Regions from separate parts of the Mus musculus genome. Here regions 2, 3 and 4 are each reported to be linked to region 1. The links are microRNA targets in miRTarBase. Many come from high-throughput screens and were not tested one by one. Region 1 holds a microRNA gene; each other region holds the end of a gene's coding sequence. Distances are from middle to middle.

What was found. Region 1 holds the annotated microRNA mmu-miR-466a-3p (UAUACAUACACGCACACAUAAGA, at 1,473-1,495, shown strand). A microRNA usually pairs through its seed, bases 2 to 8, with sites in the 3' UTR of a target mRNA and lowers its output. Matches are read on the target gene's strand: a 7mer-m8 pairs with bases 2 to 8, a 7mer-A1 pairs with bases 2 to 7 and ends in A, and an 8mer does both.
Region 2: the mRNA of 1110059G10Rik is a reported target of mmu-miR-466a-3p. Seed matches in the 3' UTR shown: 8mer at 706-713 and 8mer at 714-721.
Region 3: miRTarBase lists Strbp as a target of mmu-miR-466a-3p. Seed matches in the 3' UTR shown: 7mer-A1 at 2,332-2,338.
Region 4: miRTarBase lists Tmem161b as a target of mmu-miR-466a-3p. Seed matches in the 3' UTR shown: 7mer-m8 at 1,625-1,631.

Annotation. Positions count from the first base shown.
Region 1 is chr2:10,477,666-10,480,916 of GRCm38, forward strand. Mir466e (microRNA 466e) reads left to right here and starts at 1,423; the gene lies at 1,423-1,506. All of the region lies in intron 10 of Sfmbt2 (Scm-like with four mbt domains 2), which reads left to right. Mir669j (microRNA 669j) reads left to right here and starts at 245; the gene lies at 245-365. Mir467a-2 (microRNA 467a-2) reads left to right here and starts at 1,133; the gene lies at 1,133-1,215. It also overlaps Mir669a-4.
Region 2 is chr9:122,945,141-122,948,391 of GRCm38, reverse strand. 1110059G10Rik (RIKEN cDNA 1110059G10 gene) reads left to right here. Exons shown (of 3, transcript NM_025419.4): 3 at 284-3,251. The coding sequence ends at 498. Among named protein-coding and RNA genes, the nearest start is that of 1110059G10Rik, 4.2 kb to the left of the region's middle.
Region 3 is chr2:37,581,367-37,584,366 of GRCm38, forward strand. Strbp (spermatid perinuclear RNA binding protein) reads right to left here. Exons shown (of 18, transcript NM_001379315.1): 18 at 1-2,740. The coding sequence ends at 2,664. Among named protein-coding and RNA genes, the nearest start is that of Gpr21, 66 kb to the left of the region's middle.
Region 4 is chr13:84,294,062-84,297,295 of GRCm38, forward strand. Tmem161b (transmembrane protein 161B) reads left to right here. Exons shown (of 12, transcript NM_175187.5): 12 at 542-1,905. The coding sequence ends at 819. Among named protein-coding and RNA genes, the nearest start is that of Gm41011, 48 kb to the right of the region's middle.

The DNA.
Region 1 (3,251 bases):
TCGTGCTGAATTTCATGATGAGTTCATGACCAGCATGGGATTCATCTTATGCCCACCAAAAATGTGCATGTGTGTATAGTTGTGTGCATATTCACTTCTCTATATGAATATGCATATACACACATGCACACACATTCATAGGAATGGCCAGAGCTATGTCTCAGTTAGGAGGTGAGCACTCTTGCCAGTGTCAGGAGGATGAGGAGTTCAAAATCATGTTTAACTTCATGATGAGTTAGAGTTCAGCATGCGATTCATGTGATGTCCACCAAGAATGTGCATGTGTGTATAGTTGTGTACATATTCACTTTTGTATATGAATATGCATATACTCACATGCAAACATACTCCCACGAATGGCCCGAGCTATGACTCAGTTAGGAGGTGAATACTCTTGCCAGCATCATGAGGATGAGCAGTTCAAATTCATGTTTAACTTTTTGATGAGTTAGAGATCAGCCCGGAATTCATGAGATTTTCCCTGTGTTTGTGTTTATGTGTATAGGGAAGTATGCCTGTACATGCACGTATATGAACATGCATATATATATATATATATATATATATATACATACATATATATATATATACACACACACACAACTAGGGACACATACATGTGCACACAAACACACATGGCAGTCATCCATTTGATTTATACGTGCTTAGAGTTTCATTGAGTTTATATTCATGGTATAGGGAAAAATCTCACTTATCAAATGAAAACTGTTTGCCAGAGTTAGGAGTCTCAGGAGGTCAAATTCATGCTTAACTTCATGATGAGTTAGAGATCACCCTGGATTTGTGGGATCGACCCTAGTTATGTACATTTGCATATAATTGTGTGTGCACGTACATGTGTATATATGATCATCCCTGTAAATACACACACATACAAATGTATTCACACATACAGGCATGCACACTCACACACATAAGAATGACACTCATTGATCCATTTGAATGATATATGTCTTAGAATTTTGCTGATTATAAAGTAGAGGGACAGTGAATATTCTCTCTCACCAGGTGTAAACAATTGGCAGTGTCAGGAAGATCAGGAGTTCAATTTTATGCTTAACTTCATGAGCAGTTAGAGATCATCCTGGAATAATGTGATGGCCCCTATGTATGTGCCTGTGTGCGTAAGTGCCTGCATGTATATGCGTGTATATTTTATGCATATACATACACACACCTACACACACATGCACACAGACATGCGGGAATGGCACTCACGGATCCATTTGAATGATATGTGACCTACTGCTTTGGAGGTTATGTATGACTGGGCCAGGGTGAGGTCTCACAAACCACGGGAAACCCTTGGTAGAGTCGGGAAGATCAGGAGTGCAAGTTCATGGTAAAGGCATGATGTGTTAGAGGTCATCCTGGCATTCATGTGATTGCCCCTATGTATGTGTGTATGTGTTGATGTGTGTGTACATGTACATATGTGAATATGATATACATATACATACACGCACACATAAGACACATATGAGCACACAGACACATGGGAATGGCACTCATCAATCCATTTGAGTGATAAGTGACTTAGAGTGAAAATGCTTGCTAGAGTTAAGGGTATCAGGAGTTCAAATTCATACTTATCCTCATGAGAGATCAGCCTGTGATTCCTCCATGTATGTGCATGTGTGTATAGTTGTGTGTGCATGTTCATGTCTATATTTGAATATACATAACATACACACACACGTATAAACGCAAGCACACATACACAGACACAGGAATGGCATTCGCCAATCCCTTTGAATGATAAGTGATGTAGAGTTTTAGCGATTATGCAATAGGGGACATTGAATGGTCTCACCCACCAGGTGTAAAAGATTGACAAAGTCAGGAGGATAAGGATTGCAAATTCATGCTTAATTCAGTTAGAGATCATCCTGGTATTCATGTGAGGCCACCCATGTATGTGCATGTGTGTTTACTTGTATATGCATTGCCTCTGTTGACATGATATACAAAATATAAACACACGTGTATATGCAAGTACAGACACAGAGAAAAAAATTGCATTCATTTATACGTTTGAATGATATGTGACTTAAAGTTTTAGATTATGCAGTTTGGGACAGTGAATGGTTTTACTCACCAGGTGTGAAAGATTGTGGATCAGGAGTTCAAATTCATGCTTTACTTCATGATGACTTTAAGATATGCCTGGGATTCATGTGATGCCCCTATGTATCCCTATCTGTATCTGTTTCTATTGTGTGTGGATTTGAGTATATGGATGTACCTATCTACACAAATATATACATGTACACAGACACAAACAGAAACACACACACAAACATCAGTGCAACTCATCGATCCATTTGAATGACGTGTGACTTAGAGTTTTAAGATTCCTCAGTACTGAATGGGGAGAGGTCTCACTCAGCAGGTGAAATCCCTTGACAGAGTCAGGTGGATCAGGAGTTCAAATTTGTGCTGAATTTCATGATGAGTTCATGACCAGCATGGGATTCATCTTATGCCCATCAAAAATTTGCATGTGTGTATAGTTGTGTGCATATTCACTTCTCTATATGAATATGCATATACACACATGCACACACATTCATAGGAATGGCCAGAGCTATGTCTCAGTTAGGAGGTGAGTACTCTTGCCAGTGTCAGGAGGATGAGGAATTCAAATTTATGTTTAACTTCATGATGAGTTAGAGTTCAGTATGCGATTCATGTGATGCCCACCAAGAATGTGCATGTGTGTATAGTTGTGTATATATTCACTTCTGTATATGAATATGCATATACTCACATGCAAACATATTCCCACGAATGGCCCGAGCTATGACTCAGTTAGGAGGTGAATACTCTTGCCAGCATCATGAGGATGAGTAGTTCAAATTCATGTTTAACTTTATGATGAGTTAGAGATCAGCCCGGAATTCATGTGATTTTCCCTGTGTTTGTGTTTATGTGTATAGGGAAGTATGCCTGTACATGCGCGTATATGAACATGCATATATATATATGTATATATATGTATATATGTATACACACACACACACACAACTAGGGACACATACATGTGCACACAAACACACATGGCAGTCATCCATTTGATTTATGCGTGCTTTGAGTTTCATTGAGTGTATATTCATGGTATAGGGAAAAATCTCACTTATCAAATGAAAACCACTTGCCAGAGTTAGGAGTCTCAGGAGTTCAAATTCATGCTTAACTTCATAATGAGTTAGAGATCACCCTGTATTTGT
Region 2 (3,251 bases), not on the chromosome of region 1:
TACAGCTCAATAGTAGAGCATACATGAGGTCTAAGTGCAGGCCTCTTCATCTTCACTGTAATCAGATGGGGACTAAATATTATGGAAAACTTTAGTGAGTTTTTATTGAGTGACTGCATGTGCTGGGGGGGGGGGGGTTATAACTAAAAGCAATAGAGAAGACCAGACCAAATTGATTCAAAGACATCGTTAAGTACAGAATAAGATTTTCTTGTCATTAGACTCTTTGTTAACAGCAAAATAAAGAGAAAAAAAATGCTTCAATTTATCTTTTTCATCACAGATGAAGAACCACCTCCAGCTGATGGAAGAATAGTTTATCGAAAACCAGTTAAGCGTTCCTCAGATGAAAAGTGTTCAGGTTTAACAGCAAGCTCCAAAAAGAAGAAAACCAATGAAGATGATGTAAATAAGCAAAGTTCAGTTAGAAAGAACTCACAAAAACAAATAAAAAATAGCAGTCTCCTTTCTTTTGACAGTGAAGATGAAAATGAGTAAATATGAATATTGTGGACTTGGTTTCCTGTTTTTAAAAATACTGCTTTTGCTCCATCTTCAAGTGACACTGTACTACATGTTCATTGCAGAAGAACTCAGAAATACAGGGAGCGATTTCATAAAGTAAACCTACCCATTCCTGCCCCTTTGTTTGGAATGCCAGACATTCACTACTGCTAATGCTTTTTATTGTCTCCCTCCTATGGGTATGTATATATGTATATTGCATTTTTAAACAAAACTGAGATTGTTATATTTCTTCTTTGTCCTTCTTTCTTAGAATTACATTTGTAGAATTTTCTGATGTTGTTTATTTCAAAATCTAACATTAAAGGCTTCCAGAGGATTTCATAAATAGATCTGTCTTAGTCACTGTTCTGTTGCTGAGAAGAGATGACATGACAGCTCTTATAAAAGAAGGCATTTAATTAGGGGCTTGCTCACAGTTTCAGCTTGGTCTACTGCCATCAGGGCAGGAAACATGGCATCAAGACTGGCCTGATGCTGGAGAAGGATATACCTCAGAGCTATATCCTGATCCACAAGCAGGGTGGAGTGGGGTGTGGGGACTGGGGAGGAGTGGGGCCATTGGAGGGAAAAAGGGAGAGCCTGACTGAGCTTCTGAAACCTCAAAGCACACTTCCTCCAGTAAAGCCATATCTCCTAGTCCTTGTAATCCTTTCAAACAGTTCTACTCCCTGAGCCTCTGCTGTGTCTTTCTCATTAGTAAAACCCTGCACTTGATGAAGGCATGGCCTGGCTAAAAATACCTTTCTAAGCCAGGTGTAGTAACCTGTAACCCCAGCACATGGAAAACAAAGACAGGAGGAAGATCAAGACCCACTGCTCTGTGGAGTGAGTTCTAGACCAGCCAGGGTGACAAAGTGAGGTGCTGTCTCAAAAAACAAAGTAAGTGCTTATTTGAGCAGAACATATACTAACACTTTAATAATTCAAGAGTGTATATGGCCCCTGTGCAATAGCGGCAAATTCACAGGGTCTTCCACATTCACACAAGGAAACCTACAAACTGCAGCTCCTGCCACTTAAATGTATTCAGAAAAAGGGAGCCAGTGGTTGCTTTCCAATTTAGCGTTTTGAAAACACATTTTCTGTGGAAATTTTAATTCTTAGTCAAGAAAAACAGAAAATTTTAATAACAGCATAATTACCTTATAAAACAATCTCTTCATGTAACAAACAGTTCCACTGTTTTTCAATAATTTATTTAGAACCTGTGACAAGATCTCCCTGTGTATCACTGACTGTCCTAGAACTCACTATGTAGACCTGTGTAACCTGGAACCCAGAGGTCCATGTACCTCTGCACTCTGAGTGCTAGAATTAAAGACATATATCACCATGCCTGGCTAAAAGAAATTTGTTGGTTTTTTTTTTCAAGACAGGGTTTCTCTGTGTAGCCATGGCTGTCATGGAACTCACCCTGCCTTCCTCTGACTCCAAGTGCTAAGATTAGTACCACTGCTGAGCTCTAAAGCAATTTTTTAAAAGATGTGTTTTATTTTAAATTATATGTGTGGGAAGGGGACTGGGTGTAGCTCACCTCAGAAAAGCTGAAGCGCTATTTTTATTTTTATGTCTCTCTCTGCTTTCCTCAAGCCCAAGTGATGGAGCTTGAGGTCACCAACATGGGAACAGGATTGGATCATCAGGAAAGTAAGAGCTAGTGCTGCCATACCATGACTCTGAGACTAAAGAACCATGTCCTACACCATTCTGGGATGCCAGGCAGCTTCATCTGGTTCCTCCAGTGGAGCAAAGAGGATGAGGGGTGTATGCTGATGTCCCAGCTCCAGAAATGGTCCCACATGCCTTCCCATAAAGAGAAATGCACTGCTGGAGGGGAGCATGGAGGTCATTCCTGCTTCAACCCAGCCACTTTTATCGTCCCTGTGACTGTCTTTTGAGATTCTCAAGGATTTTACCAAGCTTAGATGTTCATTTTTCATATATTTTCTCACTTGTCAGAGCCAACTCAAAAACCCCAAGCATTTTACTCATTTACAATCTTTCCCAAATAGCGCCAGTTTCCATAGGACTGTAGTGGGGTTGAAGCAGAGTAATCTATAAAAACATCTGGCAGGAAGAGACATTCGGGAAAGATGGCCTAGTGATGCAGGTCTTTACTTTCAGCACTGCTCAAGCAGGTGGATCTACTTGAGGCTAGCCCAGTTTACATAGTGAGTCCTAGGTTAGCCAGTGCATCATAAGGAGACCATGTCATTAGAGTATCTATGGTAGAATGTGGCTTAATGGTAGAGCATTTCCTCCTATCACCAGTGCTAGATATTCCTAATAGCACTAACACCCCCACTAACCCAAATGTTAATGTCAGAGCTATCGTGATCTCAAGCTCCAGGTCCAATTCTCAGTGTTCTTCCTTCAGTTGCATTTCCAGGCCTCTGGATGGAAACTGACAACACACACTTGTTTCTGCAACGCTTTGACTCTTAATGCTTTTTTTTTCAGAGTAATTTGGGGTCATTCAGACATGCATTCCAAGGAAAAAGGATGGGTCAGAGGATCCAATTCACTTTTAGGCTTCCGGACAGTTTTACAAGCACAAGGCAGTGGGGCTGTGTGTCTGCATATAGTAGGCTCTTAGAAAACAATTATTTGATAAGTCAATGAAATGCAAAGACACTGTTCAAACTTTCAAATGGACTGTTTTCCCAAAACCATCACTTAAGGGAACAAAATCAGAAGTGGACAAAACTGGGGCTATGCTTTAG
Region 3 (3,000 bases), 27 Mb from region 1:
TGTAAACTCCCTGACAAGAGCTACACACTGAAGGGTTTACATCTAGATATTGCTACATGTCCAAAAGGAGAGCTTTAAAACAGACATCGTGGCTTTGGACAAAGTATTGCTCTTTTTTAAAATTCTTAGTCATTGATTTCAAAAAGGGTTAGAGTGGATCTGAAAGCTGGAAAGCCTTAGGGGTCACATTGCTCTTAAGACCAAGATATAAAATTGCCATTCAAGCCAGACAACCTGATGGTTCTAGAAGTCAGAGAAGAAATCTTGAGGGCCCAAGTGAATAATAAATGGTGCGACGCTCAGAGGCTGGCAATAGGGGCTGTCAATGAAAAAACCACCTACAGTGGAGAAAAGAGCAGAGAAGCAGAACTTTATGTTAATCTCATACAATTGGACGAAGCTAAGAGCTTCATTTATATTTCTCTGCTCTTTCAACTGTAAGTGGAATTTTCATTACAAAATGAAGGGTGGGACGGGCAAAAGGTGGGAGGACACTTAATTCATTACAGAATTTAAACAATTGAACTTGCATGGTTACCACTTCTAACATAGGGTCAACAGCTCCATTGTTTTAAGTAAAGCAGAGAAATGTAAAAGTTTGCAGCAACTGGGCAGGTTTACAACATGGTTAGTAACTTCCAACAAACAACAAAATTAAGAAGAAAGAGGGAAGACTTGGTAGGAACCATTTGAAATGACGGCCATCATGTTGGAGAACAGCACAGCTTCCTCCTCCATCAGAGAGGGGGTGAGTTATGAGGCAGAGTCAGAGACTGCAAAAGTCTTTTCTAAAGAGAAATCTCAAGGCAGATTCCAGCCTAGAGTCCAAATTTGATGGTCAATTTCAAATAACAATACAACTGCAACTGCCAATTAATAGTATTTCAAAAACAGAACCATTGTAAATATTTAATTAATTAAAAACTAGATACTAGCAGCCATGCTTTTTCTTCTCAGTGATGGCTCTGTTTCATCCATAGGTCAGCAAAACAAACCAATGAACATGAAAATTCCCAGCTGAAAAGGGCCCTGCTCCATTATGTCTTGCCACTAACACACATGATGAGAATGACAAGTTAAAGCTATTTTCAGCAAGTGACAAGGTTTTATTAAAGTATCACCCACCACTATTAGAAAACAAAGGTCAAGGAAAGGAACAAATGACTGTGTGATACACATCTGAGCAGTATTTGTGCCCGCAGGCTCATCTCGCATTCCCTTCCAAAGGAGCCTGGTACATTAAGTTTAGTAAGACCACTTTCAAGTGATGGGCACTGCTTGAAGTTTTGAAAAGGAATTTAACAGAAAAGTAGTTACTTCCTAAATCATTTTTAAGAATAGTGACTTGTGTCTGCAGAGGACTACACTTGTGCCTGAATGGGGGTGAGTACCTTAATGAAACCATTACCTTCTAGTAACATCATCAGCTTTCCAAACATGGTGAGAATGCAAGGAAGGACTTGGGTCTGCACCCTTCACAGACCAGCACAATGTTACTGGCTCCCAGTTTCTACCAGTATAATCAGGTGTCTTAAAAGTAAATGCTGACCCATGGCTGAAATCTGTCACTTTTCACAGCAGCACTCAACAAGAACTGGGACAATCAGAGAGCGAGTTTTTATGGGGATCCTGTTGCTGCTTTAGATTCTGATATCAAAGAAGAGGAAAGGAGACTCTTCAAGGAATTCCAAAAAAAAAAAAAAACCTGCTAATCATCTATCTACATGGAAAAAGTCAAGGAGTGAACACAGAGTCTTACAGAGTGAAGAAGGCCACAAGAACAAAAGAGGGTGATTGATTAATTTATTTTTTTAACTTGGAAATTCGTAAACTAAAATAATCACAATCCTCCTTCCCCATCTTTGGATGGTGCCATCATTTTAATAAGCAATGCTGGAATAACAGAATGTAACCTTATCATGGGGATGCTCTTGTACAAATGGAGTACAAAGAGCTTACAAAATGAATAGATTGAGAAATCATCTTTGCTTTGTTTTAGCAGCTTGCTTACAAATAAATGGGTTTCTAGGGCCAAGTTATTACTAGTTTTCAATTCCTTGAAATTTGATACCAAAACATATCAAAAATAATAAGATAAAACAATATTCAAACCCATATTTTATTGGCTTTAATTACACACTTCGTTATTTACAAAGTTAAAGTTTAAATGAAAAGTTTCTACTGTATTTAAAAAAAAAATAACTACAGCCCAAATTCAAGTGCCCTGGAGTAAGCACATATCACTCAGCTACCAATCAGTGACTGCATCAGGAACCAGGCAGTACTCTGTGTTACAACAAAGCAGTTTATTTGTAATCAGTGTTGAGACTCTATACATCCTTCACAAATTTAACTTTACATAATCTGATACTCTCTTAAAACGTCAACTTTGAGCTGCTAGACTTCCCTACAACGAAGGGGCTGGTATAAATTATTTCCAGGAATGAGGTACCGTTTCACAGAACTGGTTTCTTTTGTTTGTTTTCAAGTTTTAGAGAACTGAATTTGCATTTGTTAAAATCAAAAAGTAGGAAAGATGTTCTTTACAAATAATTTTGATCAAGTAAGTATGTGTTCAAAGAAAGCAGGATAAAAAGGCTTTTTCTCTAACATTCTGCATTGTACTGTATTGTTGTTCAATAGGAATGAGCTTCTGTCATTTACTAAAAGAATGAGTAGTGGGGAACAGGATATGTTGGGAATTTCATAACGGGTAACAGAACCATTCTCTTGGGCAAACCTACAGAGAAAAGAAACGGAGAGGACTCCAATAAAAATTTCAGGTTAAAAATTCTTACAGTAATTATCATTAACCATTTCCAGATTAGTCAGTCCACTTCATACCATTTTGGAAGAGGCCCACAAATCTCTCACAAATCAATTGCTCTTCTATCTTGATACATAATGTTTTCTGCTCTAAAATAAAAAGCCTGTATTATAGAATGACACTCAGAATGACATCTGAGTGAGCAGGCATGAATTCTAAAGATGTAAAGCAAT
Region 4 (3,234 bases), not on the chromosome of region 1:
AAGTGTGCCTTTAGACCTCTGTACCATAAGGGACAGGTAGCTCAGTTATACTATGTGAATCACAGCCTATGCAAGGTAAAAAAGTTTATGATGAAACCAGTTCTAAAAGCCATTAACTGTTTCTCACATTGATGTCATATCTTTCTCAGAAAGATATTTGGTGTGATGCTGTAGCGGCAGAAAGGATTTCTAGGAAGTTAATGGGTCTGTTCTGTCAAGGAAGGCTGTTGACTCATAGCCAGATGTCACTGCACTGAATTAAGGATCTGTCATACTTGTTTTTTTTATTATACTTTTACTTAAAAAAAGACTATAATATGGTTCAGTTAATTTTATTACTTTAACAGATAGCAAAATTATTACTTTATTTTCAATGTAAAATTGTTTACCACCAAACTTTTTAATGTGTAATATGGGTGGGGATTTAAGGTTTGCTTTTCTTCTTTTTTTTTGTTTTTTTTTGTTTGTTTGTTTGTTTGTTTTATTTTGTTTGATCCTTAGAATCATCTACTTATCAAATTTTGTGTCTTGAATATCCTAGGTAATCATTCCTGGGGAATTTATCCAGAAGCCGCCTTTCCCTTGCCAGTGGATAATAATCTCCCCGCCAACTCGGCTTACCCTGAACTACCATCACCTGATGGGAAGATGAAGGTAACTGTTACACAAATCACAGTGGCCCTGAGCAGCTTAAAAAACATCTTCACGCCTCTCCTTTTTCGAGGACTTCTGTCATTTTTGACATGGTGGATTGCAGCTTGCCTCTTTTCTACAAGCCTTTTTGGGCTTTTCTATCATCAGTATTTGACAGTGGCATGAATTTCAGTCAAAAACGGATATCCAAGTCACACTTTAAATTCAAATATCTGTGCCCTTGAAGGATTGACAAAAGAAGAATGCAAATAGAACGGAGAAAAAAATTATTGGAGTGTTTTGTTTTGAATGCTTCCTCTGTACTCTCAGGGTGAATTAATGTTGTAATATTTAAAACTCATGAGATAGGTTGTTACACTGTTACACACTGTGGCATTGGAATTGTAACTCATTGAGAGAACTAATGTGAGAGGGCTCTCTGCAGGGGTAATCCTTCTGATTATCTTGGTTTACAGTTGCAAACCTCCAACAGTCTGTTAGACTTCTTCTAGGACTCCAGTTACTGACTGCTTTTCATGGTGTTGTGGTACTGTTACTACTCATAGTTGCTGCCTACAGAACAATCTTCAAACTGAGCCATGCTCGAGGGAAGGGAAAGGAACGAAAATTACTTCTGTTGGTAATGTATTAGTCTTAAAAAAAAATCCAACAGAAAGGAAGAGAAAGCTACTGTATATTACAGTAAGAAAAGCTGCATAGTCATTTTAAATTGAATGGAGATATAAATTACCTATTGTCTACAAGTACTGTTACTTGAGAGTAGCAGGAATATTCTTTTAAAGTGAATGCCACCCAGCTTGAAAGTTCTTTTTAAATGATTGGCCATATGAACATCAGCGGTCTCACTGTTAGTTTTGGGCCTTGCTGTATTTTATTTTTTCTTTGATTTTAAATAGTTATGTTTAATCTAAAAATATTTATCAATACTGATCAAATTTGAGAATTACTTTGCAATCCTGCTGACTACGTGTATGTATTGTGTATATATTATATATTAAATATATAATATATTGAGGTTATAAAAGATGAAAATATTGAATCCTTATAATATTTTAAGTTTCAGAACGTACGTTAAACAATGATTTGAATGAGATGTATTTGTATCTGGAAATTTCTGTTTGGAATGAGATTAAAATACATTTTTTTAAAGCTCAACAGAGTGTAATTTATTTGTTGTACATATATGATAATAGTACTTAAAATGTCATGAAGATTAGTTGATTTCTCACAAATTAAATTTCATTTTCTGTTTTTGGTTTTTGCCTTTTATTAAACATAAATTCTTATGTCATACGATATATCTAAATCCAGGTTCCTATCCCTCTAACTCCTCTTTCTGCTCACCTCCTCTCACACCCAGATCCACTCCCTTTCTGACTCTCATTAGAAAAGAACAGGCTTCTAAGAGATAACAACAAAACATAACAAAATAAAATACAATAAGAGAAAACAAAAACCATCATAGCATGGTTGTACAGGCCAAGCCAACAGAAAAATAAGATGCCAATAATAGGCATACGAGTTAGAGAACCACTCTGCATTTATTCAGCAGTCCCTCTCCATAAAGTGTTAAACTGAAAACTAGAGTATATATATAGGGGACCTGGTCCAGACCCATAGGCCATGCTGCTTTAGTCTCTGAACTCATAAGAGCTTTGCTCAGATGTCTGAGAGGGCCGTGTTCTGGTGTCCATTGTCTCTTTTGTCTCCCAGACACCTTCTGCCTCTTCTGCAGAGTTTCCTGAGCTCTGTGGAGAGGGATTTAATGGAGACAAATCCAGTACAGCTGTGTGTTCCAAGGTGTGTACAGTCTTATCTGTGTGTCTCTCTCTTTCTTCCCCACTTCATAATATCTGCTGGTGAGTCTCTATGTGTTCCCATCTGCTATAAGAGGAAGTGTCTCTGTTGTTGGCTGAGTAAGGTACTGATCTATGAGTATTAGGAGTCATTTTATTGTAACTTTCAACTGCCCTGCTTTCCATTCCTGCCCTCAAATGCCCTTCAGTTCTAGCTGTCTCCCCTCATTCCCTCTTTCAATCCTGTCTCCTTTCAAACTTCCCACCTCCTTTCCCTAGTCTGTCCACTCCTGACCACCCCCCCCCATTCCAATTTCATTCCAGTCATAAAATTTACTCTATATTCCCACTCCAGGAAAATCCATGTGCCCCCTCAGCGGTCCTTTTCTCTATACCAAAACCTCTCAGGTCTACATGTTGTAGCTTATTTATTACTTAAAAGCTAATAACTACATATAAGTAAATGCATACCATATTTATTTTTATGGGTCTTGGTTTACTCACTCAGGATGGTTTTTTTTTGTATCCATTTGCCTGCAAGTTGCATGATTTCATTTTTTAAATAGCCGAATAATACCCTATTCTGTATCTTCTGTTGAGGTACACCTACGTTGTTTCTAATTTCTAATTTCTGAAGTAGAGTAGCAGTGACCAAGGTTGAGCAAGTTACCTTGTGGTGTGATAAAGCATCGACCAAGGGTAGCATAGGCTGGATCTTGAGTTAGAGAATTCCTAACTTTCTGAGCAATCACCATACTGATGTCCATAGTGGCTACAGAAGTTT